Linked DNA regions of Drosophila melanogaster. Changing the gene in region 3 together with the main gene of any one other region gives a genetic interaction. Each region holds a gene or a part of one and is shown on either strand. Other genes may lie near its edges.

What was found. Genes that interact genetically often act in the same process or in processes that back each other up.
Region 1: of brk (region 3) and nab, changing one suppresses a phenotype caused by changing the other (phenotypic suppression), as found in Drosophila melanogaster (one study listed by BioGRID).
Region 2: of brk (region 3) and Abd-B, changing one suppresses a phenotype caused by changing the other (phenotypic suppression), as found in Drosophila melanogaster (one study listed by BioGRID).

The regions. Positions count from the first base shown.
Region 1 is NT_037436.4:4,153,984-4,162,457, reverse strand, and holds the start of nab (nab), read left to right. Parts: upstream 1-1,525; 5' UTR 1,526-1,808; coding exon 1,809-2,127; intron 2,128-5,961; coding exon 5,962-6,234; intron 6,235-6,344; coding exon 6,345-7,219; intron 7,220-7,999; coding exon 8,000-8,091; intron 8,092-8,212; coding exon 8,213-8,288; coding exon of another isoform or gene 8,289-8,348; exon of another isoform or gene 8,349-8,373; coding exon 8,374-8,474. Other genes in the region: mas (masquerade), read left to right, coding at 1-81, 141-463. UniProt on the Drosophila melanogaster protein: Transcriptional regulator that can both act as a coactivator or a corepressor depending on the context. Lacks DNA-binding domains and acts by associating with other transcription factors such as rotund (rn) and squeeze (sqz).
Region 2 is NT_033777.3:16,927,294-16,935,988, forward strand, and holds the start of Abd-B (abdominal B), read right to left. Parts: upstream 6,950-8,695; 5' UTR 5,739-6,949; coding exon 5,078-5,738; intron 4,321-5,077; coding exon 4,109-4,320; intron 4,025-4,108; coding exon 3,823-4,024; intron 2,560-3,822; coding exon 2,345-2,559; intron 2,288-2,344; coding exon 2,096-2,287; coding exon of another isoform or gene 1,937-2,095; 3' UTR 1-1,936. UniProt on the Drosophila melanogaster protein: Sequence-specific transcription factor which is part of a developmental regulatory system that provides cells with specific positional identities on the anterior-posterior axis.
Region 3 is NC_004354.4:7,305,118-7,312,395, forward strand, and holds brk (brinker), read left to right. Parts: upstream 1-2,821; 5' UTR 2,822-3,355; coding exon 3,356-5,470; 3' UTR 5,471-6,015; downstream 6,016-7,278.

The DNA.
Region 1 (8,474 bases), on a different chromosome or scaffold from region 3:
TGGTGTGTCTTCCTGCACGAGGAGTCAGCCATGCGGCGGGCAAGCGATGCACGGTGACCGGATACGGATATATGGGTGAAGGTAGCGACTAGATCCTTATGATTACTTTGATAGCTTCTAACTTTTGGTCATCTTTTAAGCTGGTCCCATTCCCCTGCGAGTGCGTGAGGCGGAGATTCCCATTGTGAGCGATACGGAGTGCATACGGAAGGTGAACGCCGTGACGGAGAAGATCTTCATCCTGCCCGCCTCCAGTTTCTGTGCCGGCGGAGAGGAGGGACACGATGCCTGCCAGGGCGATGGAGGTGGTCCACTAGTTTGCCAAGATGATGGGTTCTACGAGCTGGCCGGCCTCGTCTCCTGGGGATTCGGCTGCGGGCGACAGGATGTGCCCGGCGTCTATGTGAAGACGTCCTCGTTCATCGGCTGGATCAACCAGATCATCAGCGTGAATAACTTATAGTGAGGAATCTCGCAAAGGACACACTGACACCATGTGCGGGAGGAACCCCGCTCTTGTGGCGATTTCCAGGACTGACGACTAGCCTGGTGTAGCCTACGATTGTTTCCAGGGGTTCCCGCTCTTCGACTGCTAACGTAACTCCATCCTAGTGTAATCTATTCATACCTAAACCTAACTCTAATGACTCCAAATCCAGAAAGCAACTATATTAACTATTATGATTATCGGTAGCGTAGACGGCAATCTTTAAAAGTATTCCCCTATTTGATAACGCCCTATGGTAAAATGTTTTTGTATATACAAAATAAATACAAAAAATCTTCAGTTATATAAACATTTGAGTATGGATTTGGTTGGGTAAAAAGGGTTTGGTTTAATTAATTTTTTAAATATATGATCATATTTTACAATAAGCTGTTTCTTCGTTTTCCACAAGAAACTGCTTACAAAATTTCAAATATATATTTTTCCTAAAGATATTTAAATATTTTCGAATTTTGGCGGCAAAGGAGAGCAGATTTTTCTTTTCTAGTACGAAAAAATGCAGTTGCATAATGATTCATTTGACATGGGAAAAGGGTTATGCAATCTTATACAACCTATTTTTTTTTTGCTGAAATTTGAATATTCCCAACAGATTTAACGGAATTCTTCACCAAAAAAACATTAAAAGGATCTTTTGGAAAGTCTCTCCGGCATTCCGAATCTTTGAGTGCTTCTCAAGAGGCGGAGCACAAAAACTCACTCAATGTCGCTCAATTGCGAAAAGAGAGAGAGAATGATTGTTCTCTAAGAGAATCTTGAGCATCGGCAGATAAAAAGTAACCCTCAAATCTGGAAACCAATGTCCTACGTTCCTAACCCTCCGAACAATTTGTTTGGTTTTGTTTTTATCCCTGATTTTAACCCTTTTTTTTTTTTTTGCCCCGGCTGATAGAAAACGAAAGCGCCCGGCACTCGGGTGGACTTCGGGTGGCTTCGTTGGCTTCGTTGTCGTCGGCCGGTTCCAAAAGGGTTCCTCAGATGTCCGTTCTGGGATTCGTGCACAGAAGTTCGTCTGGCCTCGAGCTGAGCGGATCGCAGAGATTAGAGAGACTGAAAGTGGCGCGAGTTTCGTTACTGCCGTTACAATCTTCTGTTTAACTCTCCCTAAAGAGTCTTATATACTTATCTAGTGTAGTTAATCGTAGCCTGTAGTACTCTTCCGATCCTCGATCCCTGATCCTAGATCCTAGTTTGCATGCATTTCGTCCTGGTTCTTTGTGTTTGTGCCTGGTATTTGATCGCCTTTCGTGCCAATCGCGTTAATTTAATCCGTCATCGTTTGCCAACGTGTTTTATCGCAATGGAGGCGAGCTCGAATCCCACAACACCCACGACGGCGGTGGCCACCACCACATCCACATCCAGTCCATCGCCAGCTGCCAGCACCAGCAGCAAAGGACACAGCCAATCCGCAACAGCATCTGCATCCGCCTCCGCCACACAGTCACAGCTGCTGACCACCAGTCTGGAAATGCCCAAGACGGAGGATCTGTACAATCTGTCCGTAGCCAGCGGACTATCCGAGGGACAGAGATCGCTCTCGGGCGCTCCGTCGGCCTCCTCCAGTCCCATTATGAGTCCGCAGGGCAAGATCTTTGGAAGGAATGCGAATGGAACAAGTAAGTAGTTTATTATTAACTGATGCTGTAATATGGTGAAAAGGATTTCCAAGGATATTACTGTGCTGTGTTACACTAGTGAACACAGTACAGTTGTGGATAGAAGTAAAAGGTTTTCTATGCTCTCACTTAAAAAATAAACTTTGGTAATCAAAGTACAATTGTAGAAAGGGAACTAATTGTTTTGAAACAAATTAAAAGTTTCTAATAGAAATTCTTTGTGAAGGATGCCTGTTTTCATAATTATAAACTATTTTCTGTCAGTTAATTTCTTTGCGTTCTAAAGGCTTTCAAAATGGTTTATGTTGATGGTAATTGAATATAGTTTTTGTCGTTAAAAATACCAAAAAAAATTTGCTGATACAGGTTCTAATTATCTCCGAAAGCCATGCACATCCTTTCGTCATTGGCTCATGCAGATGTCTTCATTTGTATAAATGTTATTGTGTCCAATCCTGATCCTTCGACCGCAACGAATCCTTTGACAAAGGAATCCTCATCCAGCCACATGCTGCAATTTTCGCGCTCTTTTCGCGAGCTTCCATTGTCTGGCGATGTTATGTAACGGAAAACCGAAGGAGCTTGTCCCTGTCCTTCAAGGACCTCCGTCTATTAACAAAGGAAGCTGAAAGTTACCTTTGCTGGGTAATAATTTAATTTCTTAAAAAATAGCGGACCCTGTTCCGGTTTTCATTTCCTCGGTGCTCGATTGCTTGGGGTGTCTTACTTTGCATATTTGCTCAAGGTCTAGGATTTCTTAAGGCAGCAATGGCAGACTTCATCCAATAGGATCCATGCCAGACCCAGGTAAGATGCCTTTTCCTAGGCAGCCGTTAGATGAACCTCATGATGATAGGTCGCGTCTTAGGGGTGATATGAAAAAACGTTGTAAGGAAACGGAAAAAACTCACCCCAAGCGATGAGGGTAGTAAAATATTTCAATAAATCTCAGTTGGCGGAAGGGGAGGCAACCAACGAGACGCGTTCTCGTTGGAAAAAATGCTCAAGCGCCGAAAGAAAAGATGTCGTCACACAGAGAAAAAAACATATATATATCCAGTTCTTAGTGATTCAATCAACTTATATTATCTAGTTGGTATCACTTAATATAACATAGCATTTCCAATGAGTATCCAGTGTATCTTTTATTTAGATTTATACAAGTACAATGGACATGGCGAAACAGGTCCTATTAAAACCCTCAAATTGGCAAGATTAAGATCGTAATGACCCCGAAAATAATGCACTTAATATTTTGGACAGACATTATTCTTTTCCTGTGCAGGTTATGGTTATGGTTCCTCTGCCGGGGCCATTGGCCATTGGCACGTACGGTCCACGTTATTGCCACCAATGGAATTTTGATCGACAAGAATTTGGTCGTTGAAAAAGTTGGCTTTTAATTTATCGTTGTATATGAGAAATAGTTTCGGTTACTTGCCCATTGCCGATGCCAAGCAGAAAGGGAGGATCGAATGGAGGAGGAGGAGGAGGATTCAGACCCTGGTCCCAGTCCCAAGTCCCAGGTTCCAGGTTCCAGGTTCCGATTCCAGGTCCAACTCTCCAAGTCAAAGTCTGCAAAGTCCGGCGTCTACTTTTTGCCCATAATCGAAGCGATCGCACGATTGACTGCTCCGCTCCACACGCACACACAGACCGCTCACACACACACACACATGCACTATAACGCATTTTCTAAATGCACTGTGAGAAAAGTGTGTCAAAATAATACAAATAATATAGGCATGAGCGAGGTACATACTTAACTTAATGCTCAGAGACGCCTTGTATGAAATATATATAATTATAATTTCCATTAGAAACAATTATCACATCTTATCAGAATCAACCACACTTTTTTTCTAAGTGCCTATCCTGCTGGCTGCTCGCGGTTTTCCGTTTTCTGCTCCTGGCTGCTTGGGCAGCTGCTTGGTATGTGGCGTCGAATGTCATTATTGCTGCCAAGTGCCAACTAAAAAGTTACTGCAGTTAATTTTTTGTCCATCTTCACCATTTGCCGTTCGCATAAAAACAGCATATTTAGCAAATGACAACAACAACAGCAGCCGCAGCATCGGCTCTTACGCAGTGGGTAAAAAAAATGAAAGCAAGCAAAAAAAAAAAAGAAAACCAAACCCGCAAATTAAATAAATAAAAAATCAGCAACAATCCGCAGAAGCAGAGGAGCTGGAGCAGCCACAACAAAGTGTCCCCAGTTCTCCGCCTTCCCAGCCTCCCGCTTCGCCATATCCCCCCCGTTCCCCCCACCATTCACATTATTTGTGTATTGAAATCACGTCTCATTTATTTATTGCTACCACCGGCTGCCCCTCTCCGTTTGCTCCACCAGACTCCCGACTTACGCAGGTCTGCGTTAAATACCCAAGTTAGGATCAGGGAGCGGGCGGTGGCAAGTGATGGAATAGACCAGAAGTGTGGCCACGCTCTTAACCCTTCAGCGGTCACTCTAGGTTTTTTTTTCAATTTCAAGATCAATTGAAAATCTTAAGAAAGCTTTCAGAAAAGCATTACTCATATGTATCTTTTCATTTTAAATATATTATATGTATATAGAGATATATAGATCATAAACTTTCACTAAAACTGGCCAAATGTGTCTATTATAACCCTCTCATTAACTAGTTTTAATAACCTTGTCACTTAGCTACTAGTTTGCTGGATTTAGCGTACATTTATAAGCACTTTCAAAGTCGACACTAATTTCAGTCCAGTTCAGCTCAGTTGATCACAGCTTTCAAGTGGACGCAACTGGTCTGATATTTTAGTTTCCAAACTATTTATGATATACCCAATTAAGCGGCTAAGAATGCGAATTATTCTTGCTGCCTGGCCATAAATCGCAACAACCCCATGGAGCGGAGCGTGGGTTAATGGCGCGAAGTGCGCATCCTTGGTGTTGCACGTCGGTGGATGCGCTTGTGGCTTCCAGTTGGCCAAGGCAACTGAATACAAACCACAAAAAAAAAAACAGAGCGAGTGGAATCGGAGGATGGCAATCGATGTAGGCAGCTTTTTCTGCCCTGAGTTTGTTATAATTTAGCCGACCAGCTCGTTTTTCTATTAATTAAAGCTGGCTGCAGACGTTGTCGCCGCCTGAAATATTCTCACATAATTATTTACGATTTGACATAATCATCATCCTCGTCATCGGCGTCGTCCATTTAGAGCTGTGCTGCCATAACAGTTACAGTCTCCTCGATCGGGGGATTCATTAGTATGAGCAATAAATCGCTGGCTAGTCAGGATGGTTTCCTATGAACTTGAGTGTAGGTACGACTTTATATGTATGTACATATATATTTCACACGATGCCATCCCATATACCCATGAAAATTTACCTATTTTGAGCCAAAAATTGAAAGTGATAAAAGCAAACAAAAAAAAAGAGAGAATAGGTTAGATTTAAATGATGATCCTGGCAATCCTTGCTGGCATCTTGCGCATGCGTGACGCATTTCTAACGAGTTTGCCGACTCAAAGCGGATCGTATCGCATCCTTGGTCTTTCAGAAGGGGTTGAACCACCATGCTTATGCAGATGAGTTGGTTCCCAGCTCTTGCCTCATCCTTTTTGTGTGCTTTCGAGTTTTTTTTTTTTGCTCTGCTCAGCCTCTACGAAAAAAGGGTTAGGGTCCAGACGTCCGTCGAGTTTTTTTTTTTTTTTGGGTAAGAAAAAGCGAATTTAATTAAAATTTTTTTCTTATAGGCGCGTAGCATTGTGAGAACGTCGCAGGCCAGAACTTAATAAATATCATTTTTTGCTGGAACTTCTTCAAGCCAGTTTCTTATGCATACGTTTGCTTGTATCTTCCAGTGATCACCACATCGCGACCGGGCAACGAGGCGGAGGTGCAGCTGTACCGGGTACTCCAGAGGGCCAGTCTGTTGGCCTACTACGACACCCTGCTGGAAATGGGCGGTGATGATGTGCAGCAGTTGTACGACGCCGGCGAGGAGGAGTTCCTCGAGATCATGGCCCTGGTCGGCATGGCTTCCAAGCCACTTCACGTCCGCCGGCTGCAGAAGGCGCTGCACGAGTGGGCCAACAATCCGGGTCTCTTCCAGGGACCCATGATGCCGCATCTGGGTAAGTTTAAGAAATATGATATAAGGAAAATGAGACTTTTACAATATTTAGTTGATTTGATGAATTTCCGCCTCTGTAAAACACTTTTGCTAATACCTTGTTACTTGCAGGTCTCTGCGAAACGCCACCGAAACCGGCATTGATCTTCAATCCGGACACCACGCCCGCTCTGCCCCGCCAGAAATTTCCCTCGTTCAATCCCTCGGGTTCCTCCTTTATGCCCTCGCCGGTTCCCCCAGCTCCACTGCCCGCTTCCGCCTCGGTTCCCGCTCCCACTGTCCCCTTGGCTACCCAGATCAGCTGTCCCTCAGCTCCTTCGGTGCCCTTGCCGCTGGTACTGCCCCCCAACCCGCTGACCAGCAGTCCGCATCCCTCGGCGAACAGTAACCTTCCGGCGAACACCGCCCACCAGGTCTCCTCCAGTTCGCCCCAGCTCACACCTGTTCTGACCGAAGCGCAGATCCAGCGGATAACCATGTGTGCTGATAAGATTGGCAGGCAACTGCCCCAGAGGGAACCGCGCGCCCAGACCACCAGGAAGCGAACCACCCGGGAACTGGAGCAGGTTATCGCCATGGGGGAACAGGATCCGCGGCGCATGGACGAGATCCGTAAGTACTCGGCCATCTACGGCCGTTTCGATTGCAAAAGGCGGCCGGAGAAGCCGCTGACCTTGCACGAGGTGTGCGTCAATGAGGCGGCGGCCCAGCTGTGTCGGAATCCCCAGACCATCTGGCTGCTGACCCGCCGGGATGAGCTGTTCCCCCTGGCACGGCAGATTGTCAAGGATGCCGGGTTCGGCCACTCGGCCAGCATTGCCCGGTACGGTGGTCTGCTCACCCAGCTGCCGTCGCAGGGAGCGGGATTGGGCGGAGGACGGGCTCCTGGCGACACGGACTGCGAGTCCAGTGACGCCGCCGTGCCCTCCAAGCGACAGCGACTCTCCTCTACGGAGGCTGCGCAGCTGCCGCTCGACTTGAATCGGGTAAGGAAGCTAGATACCGTAGAGCTATAGGTCCGGTGCCCGGTGCAGTGCTTCAGCTTCGCTTCAGAGTCCTCCGGACGGAGGTGCTCCCTGATAACCCAACAATTTGCCTTGCAGCTTTCGCGAACGCCAGAACACAATTACTAATCCTAGTCGAGAGGTTCTTCTCAGAATATCCCGACCTGTGGAGAGGGATCCAAGTTCACACTACAGTATTTTTGAACTAGACTTGATAAATCTTACTTCTAATCTTGTAGTTAAAAAACTGACTATAACCCATATAGTCTGTGTAGTCAATTTGGTCTTAAAGACCTTTGAAAATAACTAAATCACTAATGTATTTAATTCTTTAATCCTTATCGTCTAGCTTTATTAGCATGAACTAATATATATTCGTAAATGGTTGTGTTTTTTGTAGTTTTTACTGTTGAGTTGCTAGTATTTGTTGCTTGAAAGTTTATTAGATTAACCTATGCTTTAATCCTTTATAATTTAATCACTAACCCATTACAATTGAATCTTATTAGATATAAACCCAAGTTATTTAGTCAGTAGTCGTTTTGCAATATATTCTTGTACCTTTTCCCACTTACGAGTCAATAAATAAATCCTACAAAATTGCCAAAACCAACGATCCACGTGTCTTCTTCCTTGGCCTACAAAAAAACTCTTTCCACGCAACTGCCTCTTGCCTCGCTTAGCTTCCATTTGGTTCCATTGAAATGCGATTGAGAGTCTCTAATCCCCGATCTTGTTGATAAATCCAACCCAAAAATAAAGGAAGCTGTCGAGGATTCGCGCTACAATCTGTTCGCCATGTACCAAAAGTTTGCCAAGCCGCCATTTGATCTGTCGGAAATTGCCAAGTTCTCGTGAGTATAAGGTCAAAACTTAAAATTAGCTTAATATATTTTATATTAATATATAATGTATTTATATATATATACGTATACAAGCTAAACATTATTTTATAATACTTAAATTAATTTTCAGAGTCAGCAAGGCGGCTGATTATGAGGACAACGATTCGCGCTTCTCGTTCAGCAACTCAAGCTCGCCGACCATGCCAGTGAGTATGTGTTGGAGCTCTACGAGGGCATTCCGTTACCCGGGAAAGGCCGAAGAATAAGAGAAATACATTTAATCCTCCACAGACGCCATGCAATGGAATGGAAGGTGAGCGATCGCCCGTCTCTCGCCAGATGGAGACATCGTCGCCGCCACGGGAATCAGTGGATCTGAGTGGCACATCCTC
Region 2 (8,695 bases), on a different chromosome or scaffold from region 3:
CAATATCCGTGTAAAAATACTGTAACAAAAATCAGGAAACGCAATAAAAGGAAACAAAGATCGAAATGAAATAATTCAGAAAGTTCTGTTCTGTATCAGATTTTTATATTTTGTCTGAGGAAGTGGCGATTACGAGCTGATCCCCTACGAGTAAGTGCAGTACATACGTATTTTGCTTTACGTTTTGTACGAGTACGAGTATCTGGATGTCTATGAATAAATTCGATGGTGAGAGGTCGCTTGCGATGTGGTAGCATCCTCCTCTTTGGTGTACTTACCGAAATAATGAATGAAAAAATAGAACAGTTGTGGAGGATATCCAAAGGATATCGAAAATGGTGTTGTACGGAATGCGGAGTAATGCGAAGTAATTGGGATATTTTGAATTGTGTGTATATTTTTGCACTTCTGCAACTTGTTGTATTTTATTCACAATAATTAACTTTTTAAAAAAGAGAATTGCTAACGCTAGATTAAAATTCACTAAACAAACTATAATCGAACATAATCATAAACATAACCGACTTTAGACTACAACTTATCGAGGGCTCGAAATAATAATAATACAAGAACATGAATAAAGCAGTGGGTGAAATCATTTCTTCATCAAGTATGTATAGGCTAATTATACACATATAATGATAGGCATAGGTGTAGGTGTAGGTATAGGTATAGGTTAGCATAATATAATATAATGCTCGGGGCAAAACATTAACAAAATCGATAATTACACAACACAACTAAACTTAGACTTAATATCAGGATCAAGCGGCGTCGATACACATGAAAATATATGTATGCATATGTACGATTACTATATGTACTATGTGTATGTTATATAAGTAGCTGTTACGGTATGCTAATTACTCCTCCCCGACATCTCCCCTCCATCGTTTTCACACTCGCTTACTTCTGTTAAGTGTGTATCTTTTAAGTTTTTGTTGCTTTAGCTTTACGAGTAGTTTTGTTAAGTGTTTTCCTTGGTTTAAGAGTTAATTTAATTCGAAAGCGACTTCAACTATGGGGTAAACATGCACACACTCATTGAAATTTTTGCAACTTACAATTAACCATTTGCTAAAATCGAATCCGAGTTCATATTATACAAATATTGAATATCTCTGCGTGTACGCAATATACATATACATATATCTGATGTAATTTAGTTATCGAGTGCTCGCTTCGGCCGGAAATCAGCGCAATGTCTTAGTTTATATACAGGAACTTAGAAGGTATCAAAGGACACGACACGACGAACATTATACGACAAAATTTATCCTAGACTGCGGAGTGTGTCTTCTTGTTTGCGGAGCTGTGAGGGGTCCGAAAATTGTTAAACAATTTCAATTTGTGTTTCAAGAACATTTATCTGGGTCTAAAATGTGTTCTGCTGCTCAGCCTAACTCAGCCGCCTTGTGGCCGCTCTTAATTGGATAGGTATGGTAAAATCTACTACTCGAACGCGTGTATTCATAATTTATGCGGGGTTATATTCACTGACGTTTAAGTATATTCATATTCATAATTTATAGTTCGGAAAATTCATAGTGCTCGCCTAGGCTAATGAGAGCGTTGAGAGAAATACGTACATACATATATTTTCGTACAGTTGCGAATTTCAAGTGCATCTGCTACTGCTGCTGCTTACTCTTCATCTTACTCGTATCTATATTCAACTACCGAACTAAGCTGCATTATCGTGTTGGGGCTTGGATCTCTGGGATCCGTAGAACTGACTTAATAATAAACTGCATTTGCATCAACGTCGGTTGGTCACACATCAGCGACGCCTGCGCACTTCTGGGCAGTTGCTCATCCACATCCTTGCTCCTCATTGTGGTCACATATTCCTATCCCGCATGCTAGAGATCTCTGGTTTTTGTACATTTAACCGACTGAACTCGGCCTGGCTGGAATCGCCCTTCCAATCGCTGGACTAGCATGGAAAGTCCATGGCCAGCTCGTTCTTGATTAGATGATGGTGATTCGGATCGGACATGGGGTTGGGATTCGAGCTGGGGTTACCCGAACTCGGATTGGCTAACTGCTAGTAGGTGGCAAAGCCCATGGCGCCAGCGCTGCTGTTGTCCAAGGGTCACTGGTGCATCTTGGCGGCATGGTGACCCATGTTCAGGCTAAGGTTCAGGTGGTGGCCGCTGTGGTGCTGCTGGGTCGCCTGCGCGTGGTTGTGGTTGCTGCTCGAATTGTTGTTGTTGTTCTGCTGATTGGCCTGGCGCTGTGAGTTCTTCTTGTTCTTCATGCGCCGATTCTGGAACCATATCTTGACCTGAAAGGAACGCCTGTTTAATGAATTCAGTTCAAGTCAGTAGGTTTATGGACTCACCTGTCGCTCGGTCAGCTGCAAATTTCTGGCCAATTCCCAGCGCTTTTGCTTGGAAACATACGCATTGAAAAGAAACTCCTTCTCCAGCTCCAGGGTCTGGAACTTCGAGTACGGCTTGCGCTTTTTCCGGACGGACACCTGACCGGTCCACTCGTGCAGTCCGGGATTGGGCGTGCAAGGACCCACTGCTCCCACGGATAATCCACCAGAGGCTCCTGAAAACATCATCAAGTAATGGGGTTAAACTACATGGTTAACTTCATTAAACCGCAAGTGCGGGTGGTCCGATGGTTTTGTTGCTCGGTGTTCGGTGCAATATCAGATCGTTAAGTTTATAGAGCAATTACGGAAATTGTTTAGCAATAAGCGTAATACGAAATTATTCAATTCCTCATTTATGGCCTCTTAATTGGTGCGGTACGGGGAGCGGAGCTCCGAATTGGCATGAGGCCCATATTCACACTCGAGTGGATAACACTAAATGAATACATTCGTTCCCGCTCATTGGCCGACCAAATGAAGCAATTAAATTAATGTTGAAATAAAGTGACAAGTTGGATTTATTTTAATTTAAACGCTAGTTCAGCACGAGTGAAGAGCTTTTCGAATCTAATCTGATTTCTTCGATTAGTCTTGGTAGCATTGAACAGTTAGGACAGTTAGGTCAGATTGGAAATTAATTATCGAGCCTAAGAGACCTGAATTCCAATTGTAAAATTGGCTGGCGAGGTCACTTAACTGACATATTCCGCCATAATAACGAGTCTTTACTATGGATACCATGGATACTACTGGGAAAATATGACTAGTCGACAGATACAATTCTGGCAGTTGAAAAACACCTGGTGATAAGACACGAACATAAACAGGCAACCCCATAGAATGCAAACCCCAATGACTTTCGCACCCACATAAAGGCGTAACGCTAGCCAAATAGCGAGTATCGATTTATGGGCCGTTTTGCACTACGCTAATTGAACGACAAACTTGACGGTTTCGCAATTTGCTATTTCAACCGATACGACGACGAAAAGTCTAGTGCACATAGGAAAATCAAATAATCTTGAACTTTATATTGTAGGATGCTTAATATTTTAGGGCTGTTTAAATAATTGGCTTGGCTTTTAGGAAAAAAAATAATAGCACCATATAAAAAACACTTCCAAATAATTATCGATTCATTGGAAAATTTGACGGTCTATAAATATATATTTTACAATTAAAAACATTTAGGTGGAATTTGAACGCCTCTTTTTAAACAGAATTTTGAATTCGTATAATTTTTCACTTTAATTTAATTTCATATGAATAACCAAATATTTTATTAAAAATTTTAAGAATTGTAAACAGTAAATTTTTAATTTTTAATCTTTAAAATTTCTCCTCCCAAACTAGAGTTGCAAGATGCTCAAAATTATTTCCAGTGTGCCTAACCTCGTTACCCTTAAGTGTGCCGACTCTGGCCGGTCTGGACTCACCTGAGCTGGAGTAGTTCTCGCTGGGATAGCCGCGCAGGCCGCCTGGCGAGGAGTAGGTGGGCGGCTCATAGCTGGACGTCGATGTGCCCTCGACGGACTGTCGGGCGGCGGCGCTCACGTGGCGCTCCGCTTCGTTCATGTAGGCCGCCGCCGCTGCGGCAGAGGTGGTCTGATCGGGGCGGTAGTTGGGGCCCCAGTACTGCTGCGGGGGAGAAATGAGGTCGGGTTGGAACGAAGTTGCTTACAACTGATGTGGAGGCGTGGGTGGCGCTGTGGCCATACTTACACCAACCGGAAACTGCGTTTCTGGGTAAGGATAGGCGAACATGTGCTTGCGGTCGTAGTACCCGGAGCCGTAATGCTGATTGAATCCCTCGTCGTTGTAGGCCCAGTGTGCCGTGTGCCGCTTGACCGCCGCCGAGGTGTCCGTCTCGAATCCCGGACCGGCCCGGATGGCGGGTATATGCAGTGGCGCTAATTGTATGGACATATTGATGTCTGAAAGTAAACGATAAGCGCAGATTTGCTGCTGTTAATATTGGCACTAGGGCTGGTAAGTCTAATTTTAACGACTGTCTATGATCAAATCGACCTCCTTGATCATTTGGCATTTTATCACTTGGCGTGGCATTTGTGCCTATAACCCTTAGATTGTTTGTCGATGTCATGGATGTGGGTGCATTCACACCTCGTCTATATATAAATCTGTATATTTAACACGTGTCAACACTTAAGGTAATAAAATGGTTACCATAACGATTACGTTTCAAATCATCGTTTAATTTTTTTTTTTGTGTAAACTCTTTAAAAAAAAACCAATGCAGTTTTGAAGAACTTCAGTACACTCACAAACAATATTTTTAAAAATTTTTAATTTCCTTACAAAATTAAAGTTGTTACCACCCTGCAATTATATAGTCTATAATGATAAAACAGACGCAAATATTTTGAGTAAATAAATTAAATGCGTGACGATTCCTGGGAGAGTTAAAGAAAAGCCTTATCAGCCTTGAAAAACGTGCTGCAATCAGCACAACTGAAACGTTATTGCAACTGGGGGGAAAAAAAAACAAGTGGAACGACCCCGTTCCCAATTTAACGTCCCCAATTTATTTCGAGAGTTTTCCAGTTCAGATGTAGAAAATTTCAAAAAATATATTTCCCAACGATCTTTGAAAGCCCATAACCAATGGAGTTCCAATAAGAAATCCGCTGGTTTTCAACCCCAAGGAAAGTTATATTTCTGGGACCTCACCTTCCTTCTGAGAACTAACACTGGAGGGAGAAACACTCGCCGTGGTCGGCGCAACGATCTGCGTCTGGCCAGGAGCAACTGCAGCATTCTGCTGTTGCTGCTGCTGCTGGAGATTCGAGGAGGCGCCGCTGGCGACACTGTTCGGGGTTTGTTGCTGCGGCAGTTGCTGGTGGTGGGGCGATGTGAGATGTTGCTGTTGTTGGGCGGAGGGTCCAGTGGGTGTTTGGGCAGGACTGAGGGCGCCGGCCACCGGTGTTGTCGCCAGCTGTTGTTGCTGCTGTTGCTGCTGCTGTTGAAGTTGCTGCTGCTGCTGCGGAGCGGGGAGGTGTTGCTGCTGTACGGCGACAAGTGGCACAGGCGGAGGATCCTCGTACATAACCGCATGCGTGGGCGTGGAATGTGTGGTGGGAGTTGACTGCTGTTGCTGCTGCTGGAGCACCGAGGAGGGTGAGGAGGCGACGACTGCATGTTGCTGCTGCTGTTGCTGCTGCTGCAGGTGGGGATGCGCGCTGTGGTGATGGCTGGTGGTGTGGAGAGGCTGAGGCAGGTGGTGGTGCGCATGGTGATGCAGTTGCTGCAGATGCTGCTGCTGCTCCTGCAGATGCTGCTGCTCCTGCTGCTGCTGCTGCTGTTGCTGCTGCTGCAGATGGTGCTGCTGCATGACGGGCAGGGAGGGATGCGCCTGGGGATGCGGATGCGGGTGCGGGGCGGTGGGTACGTGGGTGTGGGTGTGTGTGTGATGCCCCCACCACGCCCCGGCAGCGGCGTGCGACCCGACTGCCGAGACATCGTGGGGGTCGTAGAGAGCGCACGCCAGCGGGATGGTTGGGGTTTGGGGGAGGGGTGGAATATTTACGGTTATCTTGGACGCGTTGCACTCGAACTGCGGCGGCGAGGATAAAGGCGGTGCAGTGGGGTCGATCGCCTCGACCCACCGACCTTTCTCTGTCTTTTTTTTCTCACTCCTCTGAGTGACGCCTTTCTAATTGTTTAAGTCTCTTTATATTTTTTTCGCGACTTAATAATTTTTATTTTTAATATTCAGAGCACCTTTACTCGAGTTTTGCCCCTTTTATTTGCGTACCGCACACGCACACAAACGTCCGTCAGCGGTCACACGCACACGCCGACTTACTCACACACGCACACTGCCTAAAGAGCGGGCGAAGAGAGTAACTTTGTTGTTGCACAGGGGATCGAATCAGCTTGAATTTCACAGGGTGCTTGCGGTCGTCAGCAACTCACGCAGTATTTTCAAATTGGCTTTTTTCAGTTTTCATTCGGTCAATCCAATTTTCCAAAACTTTTCCAATTTTTCCTTTGTCAGTTAATGTTTTCTTTTCACTTTTCTTTTTTTTTCGGTTGGCGTTTGTTTTTGATTTTCTTCTCTCTTTTATAATTATCATAAATAGTTTATTATTTGTGGGGCCTGCAGTCGTTGTTGTTGCTGCTGCTGGCGTTCGCTTTTTATGTTGCTGGTCATAAAATTTGATTTTACGACCAAAACAAACAATTAAAGGCAATGTTTGCAACAGTTAACAAAAATGTTATTATTTCTCCTCACAACGCCGGCGACACGATGTTTTGATTGTGTTTTTTGTTTTTTGATTTAATTTTTTATACGACTCCAAAAACGTTTCTTCTTTCAGTTAAATTTTTCGAAAATGTTCAACTTGTATTTTTCGAACCGTTCGAACGAAACACTCCCAGTCGAATGTGAATGTGAATGGACGGCGAGTACGAAATCGTTCAAGTCCCAGTCCTCGACGAAGTTGCAGGGCCGCTTGCCTCGGCTGTTGTTGTAGTTGCTGTTGTTGCTGCTGGACGCCCGCGCGCCTTCCAACCGAACAGAGCGAAGCACAAATCTACACTGACGGCAGCAACGCGCACGGCGACAACATATCCACATCGCTGGCACGGCACACCGACAACACAAGACCAAGACCAGAACCAGAACCAGCACACGAACACAAACTCTAAGCGCAGCGGCGCCAGCCCGCTCCAGTGTGTGTGTGTGTGTGTGTGTGTGTGTGTGTGTGTGTGCCTCCCCGTCCGTGTGACTTGGAAGAGAGCGCGGACATGCGCATGTTGCACAAGCACTCAGATTGATGGTGGTGGTGGTTGATGTTATGTTGATGGCAGTTGGTGCGGCTCTCTTGTGGCGCGTTATGCACACGTACACTGTATACAGCGTCTGTGTGGATCCCAGACTGTCAGCGAGTGTGCGTGTGTAAGTGGGGGGAGCCGAAGAGAGTTTTGGATGTTGCTGGGGGAAATAGCACTGTTTCAACTAGCGCCTTCAATGAGGTAAAGATGGTATCGCACTTCGACTGGGACTGGCTCTGGAATTCGCTGAGCTCAGCAGGTGCTCCAAGTCACAGGGGGTCATCGAGGGCGAAACACACACGCACAGTGTACGTGTGAAGGCATCCGCTCTTCAACGAACAAAAAACGCTCTCAGACTCACCGCCCGCTCTTACTGCCCGATTCTGGGGGCTGATTTGAATACTTAACACGCGCGCACCACAGCGCCATCTATGTCCGAGATTTCGATGGAATGGGGGCGGGGAGGCGTGGTAGATGGCACCACATTGTGTGTAGTTAGTTGGCTTGTTGTTGGCGCTTTTTATCGATTACCACAACAGCAGCAACATACAGAAAAACTCACTGCATAAAGACCATGGATCGCGACCAATTATACGAGTCGTCAAGCGCAGTGACTAATTAATGCTAATTAGTTAAACAAATACATGCGTGCGCCAGTTCAGTCAGCAAATTATGACAGCCCAATTGTTAGGAAACCCCGGGTCTCTTTTCACCCCTATCTCAACATCCTTTCTCCCTTTTGGCTCTTCTACAGATTCCCCTCCTTGTCTCACTTCCAAAGGCAGTTGCCAAATTTTACGCTGCAATGGACAATTATGGGAATTTTATGGCAATTGCCATTGGAAGAAAAGCAAAAGGCACGCAGTCGAGGCCAAGGAAATGTTAACAAATCGTAAAAAGGATGCGATGAGAACAACTCTCAACCCGTTTGACAACAAAATGTATGTACAATCGCATAAAAATCCATACTTAGCAATTACAATAATACATTTGAGCAGGGGCTTAAGAAAATGTCAGAAGTCATCGCGACTGGAGACGAATAATATTATTTCTTATGTGAAATCAGAACATTCATTTTTAATTTTTCACATCACGCATTTAGTTGAAGAGTCCAACTGCTTACATAACAAAGTTGATCAAGTAAACCCCAAAAAAACTTCAAGAATTCTACTTATAATAATACAAAACTTGTAATTAACTGCCGCAATCTATTTCCAAAAATAACTTCTTCGATTGAAATTATTATTCAACTTTTTTATTTATAAATAGAAATAAAGTATGATTGACATTTTTCCTATTGAACCACTCTGCTAACACGCAGAATTATTTTAAAGGGATAAACTCTCTGCACAATAGCATTTTATAATTATTAGTAGCATTTTAACGCCTTAATATTACATATTTAAATACATATCTGGCTTAAACCGGACTAATTATAATTTTAGCTTACCTGTGGGATGGGAACTGACGCTGGAGGGAGAAATGCTCGCCGCTGTCGGCGCAACGAGGTGG
Region 3 (7,278 bases):
ACGTTACCTTTTTATATTCAATTTTTATCTCTTTGCCTTCGTCTTTTCCGCTTCTTTTTTTTTGTTTTGTTTTTGATAAATCGATTTAGAAGCCGACGGGGTCTAAATAAAAAAAAAAGTGGAATTCTTTTGATTTTTCTGTGCCAGTGTGTGTGTTGCTTTTGAACTTTTTGTCGTTTGAATTTTTCGGGCCGAGTGTGTGTGCGTTTTTTCGGCATATTTTTGGGTTGTTTGTGGCCGCTTTACTTGGAAATGCAATTCCAAAATGTATTTCTCTCGCCTTTTTTAAAGGGTTTTATCTTTGGCGTCTTACAGATTTTTTCAAAATTTCTATTAATTTTTAATATTAATATTGTATGATATTTGTTAGTAATATCTATTGTTTTTAAATCTTTTTAGTTGTTGAATTTTAAGTAATTTTTCAATTTATTACTTTGGAACTTAACTTTTTTTTTAGTTTAGTTTAGTTTTTAGGTTTAAGTTCGTTACCGATTTTAGAGCTCCTTTTAAGCCCTTTTTTGTCAGTGCATCGAAGTTTATTTCTCGCTGTTCTTCCCGCTTGTTGTATTTCTTTTTTTTCTTGTGCAGGCGCTTCGCAGGCTCCATCTTGTCTTGCCGTCCCTTTCCAGCTTCCTTGATCTTTCCAGACAGTCCGTCGTCGGCTTTTGATTCGTGGGCACAGTGGGACGGTGGCGGGGGCGGCGGTTTGGGATTGGGTACAGTGGGGCGGGGGCAGCAGAGACGTGGGAATCTGAACCCCAGATATCTATGTATAGTTGTTGCTTTTTTTCTTTTGCTGGTTTTTGTTATTTTTTTTGTAAGAGGTACATAGGTGACTCAAAGATCGCTAGTCCTTTCCCTTTCCCACTTCATCTTACCATACCGCACGCGCAAATTGATGCTCAACAACAACACCATATATTTGATTTGTTTTATGTCATTTTTTCTATTTTTATTTTCATAAATTTGCATACACACGCAAGCGAAGCAGCCCACTGTCTCCGACAAAAAAAAATCACGCACACACAGAACCACACACGCATGCAAATAGCGAAAGAGAGCGAGGTGTCTGCGGCAGTGTGTGTGTGTGTTTCATTCATGAATCCAGATTTTGCCGAGGCAGGAGAACAGAAGAAGCAGAGTAAGCTGGTAACGAAGCAGAGGCAGCATTTCGGTTTGTCATTTGCAACAAGTGCGGAGAGGTTCTCTTGTACACATATTGTTGCTGCACTTATTGCATGCCCTTTTAGTTCTTTTTCGTTGCATTGTTTTATTTTTTCAATTTTTCTAAGCTTAGACAGAACGGCGGCAACGTCGACAGAAATAAGCTAAAGCTATATGGTATATATGCACCCACGGCCATAACAACGAGTAAAAAAAAAACCAAGATAGTTGGAAACCTCTGTGTTCGTCTGGCTCTATGTGTGTGTAAAAATATAAAAAATGCAGCAATGCATTCAACAGTTGATTCAAGAGAGAGCAAAAGGAAGAGAGAGAGCGGGCGGTTTGGTTGGCGAGAGAGCGGCGCTCAACAAGTTCGTTCGACGATCTGTTGCGCGGTTTCTACGGATGTGTGTGTGTATGCTGACGGGGGACGTGGGCACAGGGGTGTGGGTCAAAAGGGGTGGGGGGCTCTGGCCGATGTGGAAGGGGTATGGGGGAGGGCGGCGTGTGGAGTGGCAGTGCCAGAATGTCTGGCAGCCACGACTCTGGCGCACACACGCACACCATTCAAAGGTGCCTTTTGCACACGTGTGTGTGCGTGTGTGTATCTGTATGAGCAACTGGCAGAGCCAGCGAATTTGTAGCGCAGCCAGAAACAACAACACAACGCAACACGGCAACAGCAACCGCAGCCGCTAACAAACTGTGCTGCGACACAGTGGCACAAAAAGCTGCCAGCAAAGGGTTAAGTGTGGGCCTACTAATACATGTAAAAAACTAATTTTTGTAAACAGAATTTAAAAATGGTTTCCAAGTAGTGCGAACATTTGTCGACTTTGGGTTTATGTTTAAAACAATAATCTGTTGTTGGCAGATAGCTAACAATGTTTTAGAGATAGAAGAATTTGAAACGCGTTTCACTTATTGACTCGATGGCCTATAAATTGATAAAGGGTTTTTTAATTATTAAAGAAGAAGAAAATGTGTTATATTATCTCGCTGTTAAAAATGTTATCTTTTGATTTGTTCTATTCCATGTTTTTAGGTATCATATAATATTTTTTTTATTTTTTATATAAAAAAAAGCCATACGAATTGGTCCCACTGTGCGGTTCGCGGTGTTTGTCAGTTAGTCAGTCAGTCGGGTGACTGTGGCAATCGAAAAGAGTGGACAAAGACTGTGGCGCACAGGGACGGGGGAATGGGTTGCTCCGTCCCATGTTGTCCATTCGGTCCCACCGTGCACACAACTCAGCACAGCACGGCACAGCAGCAACAAAAGCGCCGCAAAAGGGAACTGGTATTATGGCATCCCGCTCGCACTTGCACTCCAAGCACGCACACATGCAAGCGCAGACACCTCGCGACACGATTGTCGTCAGTTTGTCTGCAATGCTCAGCTTCAGCGCCATGCGCTCTCTCTCTGTTGCTCGCTCTCTAGCTCCCCCTCTCACTCTCTCTCCCACTGCTGCACGCACACGAACACCCACACGAACAGCAGCAACAACAACAGCAGCGCACAGCAGACAGGCAGGCACTTTACGCCTGTGTGCGTGAGCATTTCAGAGTGAACCGCAGTCGACGGCGGCGCCGGCAGCGACGCCGGCCGAGGCGAGGCAGTCTAGAACGTATCTTCGAACTAGAACGCCGAGGGCAGAACAATTGTGTTTTGGATTCCTTGCCGTGCGGATCGCAAACGCGAGTTATGAGAAGAGCGTAGTAAAACGTACGAGAAGTAGCTAACAAGAAAAGGAAAAGAGCAGAAGAAGCAACAGCACGCAGACATATATTTTTTTTAACTGTGTTTTATTTATCCGATCTATACCAATCGAAATATACACAACTATATAGATTTGAAACGGATTTTGAAAAGTGCTTTCAAATAAACTCCAAAAAGTATCAGAGCGAGTGTGTGCCAGTGTGTGTATGTGAGACGCGTCGCAGTCGACGTCGCTGCTTTGGGGACAGAGCTGCCAGATCGCGAGTTATGAAAGCGCAAGCGTCGCACGCAAGTAGCAACAACAGCTACAACAAAAGCACCTAAAACTTACTACCTACTACTACTGCAAAACACACTTGTTTGACTATTATTTCGCTACATTAAAATCAACAAAAATACACACAAAACTGACCAGAATCTTGGGAAAATAAAAACAATCTTTAAAGAACGCCACGAAAATAAACCATAATCATGGATAGCAGCAGCGAACAGTTGAACGGATCGGGAGCTTTGAATTTCAAGCGGCCCAAGGATTCTTCGGAGAATGCCACAAACAGCCACACAAATAATGGCAATTCTTCGGGCAGCCCCAAAATGGGAAGTCGTCGGATTTTCACGCCCCACTTTAAGCTGCAAGTCCTCGAATCATACAGGAATGATAATGATTGCAAGGGCAATCAACGGGCCACGGCCAGGAAATACAACATTCACCGCCGGCAAATCCAAAAATGGTTGCAATGCGAGTCAAATTTGCGATCATCGGTGGCCAACAATCAGCAACAGCAGCAGCAGCAGCAACAGCAACAGCAGCAACAACAGCAGCAGCAGCAACTACTCCCACAGCAATCGGTATCGCCGACACCGGCGGTCAAGGTGTTCCATCAGCTGAGCCATCCGCTGGTGCACCAGTTGCATCACCATCACGCCGCCGCGGTGGGTCATCATCATCATCATGCCGCCCACCATCATGCCGCCCATCATCATCACGCTGCAGCAGCAGCGGCGGCAGCAGCAGCGGCAGCAGCAGCAGCAGCAGCCCACCATCATGCCGCCCACCATTTGCTGGCAGCCAATGGCATGGTTCCACACCCCCTGGCCGCCCATCCCCACTTGCATGTCCCGGTGGCAATGCATCCTCAAATGCAGCATCAGAAGGAGCAACAGCAGCAGCAGCAGCAGTTGCAGCAGGAGCAGCAGCAACAGGATCAGCAGCAGTCACAGCAGGAGACACCTGCAACCATTGCTACCAATGGCAGCAATCAGGGATCCTCGAATGTCCTTTCGGCGGCCAAAATAGCCGCTGTTGTTGCCGCCGCCATGGCCACCAGCAATGGCAATCCCACACCGACAGCAACAATCCCCGCCAGCAGCAGCAGCAGCAGCAACACATTGCCGAGCAGCAATAACAGTAGTTGCCACAACAGCAGCAGCAGCAGCAATAGCTGCAACAGCAACCAAGTGCCAATACAAGTGCCAATCCTGAGCGGATCCCCTGGGTCCACATCGTCAGCCAGTCACATTCCACATGTGCCCTTTGCCTACCATCACAATCTGCATGGCTATTTGGAGAATCGACTGGAGGCGGTTGCCACACCAGCCCCCATGGACCTCTCTCTCGGATCCTCTGCCCGCCGTCAAATGCAGTTGCACGAAAAGGATCCATCTGGTGTGGATCTCACTTTCCGCAAACGTAAGGTCATCACTAGTCCGATGCAGCCGGATAAGATTAGTAAGCTGGAGGAGGTGATCAAGAAGGAGCCCGAAACGGAAACGGAGAACGAGGATGTGGAGGTGGACGTGGAGACGGAGCAGCCGGAGGAGCACAAGCTGCCCTCTAAACAGGTCAAGCTATTTAAGCCCTATTTGCTGGACGATGATGAGGAGCAGGATCATCATCATCATCACCATCACCATCGGCAGGAGGATTTGGATGAGGGAGCTGCCGAGGAGGAGCAGGACGACGAGGAAGAGTCCCGCTATGCCGACGATGATGAGGTGGACTCCAAGGAGGCGGCCGACAAGAAACAGCGTCGCCTCAAGAAAAAGCCATCGGCAATCAACGAACAAAGGGAACCCATCATCTGGAGCAACCATCCGTATCCCGGTGGCTGTGTATCGCCCGGCAGTTCGATCACCAGCAGCTTTCAGTGCCCCACCAGTATGCAACAGCAGCAGACATTTCCCGTCGCCGGCGGGAGTCCTAATCAGCAATTTCAGGACAACTGCAGCTCCAGCAAAGCCACCACGCCCCTCAGCCCATTCTCGGCGCCCGCCCTCTCGCCCACCGGCTTCTGTTGCCCCAAAGGATCGCCCGTTTCCGGTTACGAGAGCAGCTCATCCACCTACAGCGACAGCGGCAGCAACTACAGCCTCAATCTCCAGCTGCATGCCGTCTACAACGACAATCTGATGTACATGCAACAGCAGCAGCAGCAGCAGCAACAGCAGCATCACCTGCAACATCAGCAGCACCTGCAGCGCTGGCTGGATCAGGAGTCCTTGGCCACTGCGAGGACATCATCCGTCAACCGACCACTGATTCTCGTGGCGGATACTGCGCCCACAAACCTGACCCTGGTGGCCTAAGAACACACACACACACACACACACACACACACACAACAAACAACACACACAATAGAAACTAAGGAAGCAGCAATCCCACCAATCGGATGTTATAATGGCAGTCACTGGGCCTGGCCTTTTAGTTCCCTAAGCCATATTTAAGCTTAATAACGTTTTTTTTAGCCCTACCACCTAAGTTTACCTTAATAAAAAATTGTATATCTAAGCGCAAACATATATCTTCCAAGCATATCAGCAAAAAAAACCCCAAACCCTAGGTATAAACCCTTCTTTTTTTTTTGGTTACACACTAAGAACAAATTAAGCTTAAGTTCAGATTTTTCTTTTTTTTTTTCTTGTATTAGCTTGTGTAAATAATTGTGTACAAAAAGTGAAACAAGGCGAAACAATTGAATTTGCTTAAGAATTTCAACGCTTCATTTCATTTGTATAACTTGTGGGAGAGTATTTTAAGAGAGAAAATGTGAAAAATGCAACTGGAAAAACTGAGAAAATTGTTAAGAGTAAAGCTTTAAAAACGAAACAAATACACACCTTTACAATACACACTTTTTTTATTTGGAAATTGAAAATTGAAAATTCTTGTGATATGACAACAACAAAACAAAATTTTAATAAAATTGTTGAAAACTGAAGCTTATTGAATATACAGCTATATTATACATAAATATATATTTACAAACACAAAAGAGAGCAAGAAATTTAACGTAATATTAAGGGTTACATTTAAAAGTTAATTATAATGATATACAATATACATATATACAATATATTTATATACAAACAAGAGGAGAACGTTTTTTTTTTTTTTTCATTGCCAAGGGAAATATTAAATGCGCCTATACATAGAGAAAGAGATATATATATCTAAATGTATGTATATATATAAAATCAGTATTTTTATATATTACATTTGACAACAACAATAATAATAATAATAATTGTGTGACCATACAACAAACAAACAACAAAATCAAAAGGAAAACGAATTGATTAAATTAACAACAGAAAACTAAAAAAACTTTAAATTAAACTGGTTTTATCATTGCATTTGCGTTGGGTTTCGAATGAAGTCATTGCTTTTCAGATGACTGCAAATATTTCAGGGATCTATCTATAAGATCTTTTTTGGTTTCTGGGTTCAAAAAAAAAAAAAATCAATATCAATACACCCCCGCCGCATCAATTGGGATAATCTAGATTCGAGAAAAATCGACCTGCCTTTAGCTCCGCAATTCTTCTTAGCTGTCAGTGTGAGGTTAAGGCCCCATTTATAGAACCGATCGCCGTTTGATCTTTGCGATCATACCGAATGTGCCATTCAAATGTGTGTGCGTTATTTGCGTGCCTCATTGTGACAACTCATGGGTTGTCAGTCAGTCAGTCAGTCAGTCACTCAAGTCAGGGCATAGCTTAAGGCTTTGGGGCTTTCCATTTCGAGTGCCTGTGCCACGCCCCCTGCCCCCCCCCCCCCCCATCCCCTACGCACAGACTAGACCACCCACCGCCCTCCGCGAGCTACTCGGTTTCTGGTCAAATTCGCTTGGCACATTTCAACGGCGGGGTATGACTAAGCCGCAAATTCTATAATGATCGTATTTTTAAAACGTTTAAAAATAAAGTGCTCTCGTTTGCCAATGTGTGCGCCAATCACGAGCCCCGAGCCGCAGCATTCAGCACCACTGCGATCCACAGCCACATCCACATCAGCATTAGCATCAGCATCAGCATCAGCACCACCGCAACTGCCACAGACGGCAGCTATCGTATCGTATCGTATCGGATCGGATCGGATTGGATCGGTTTGG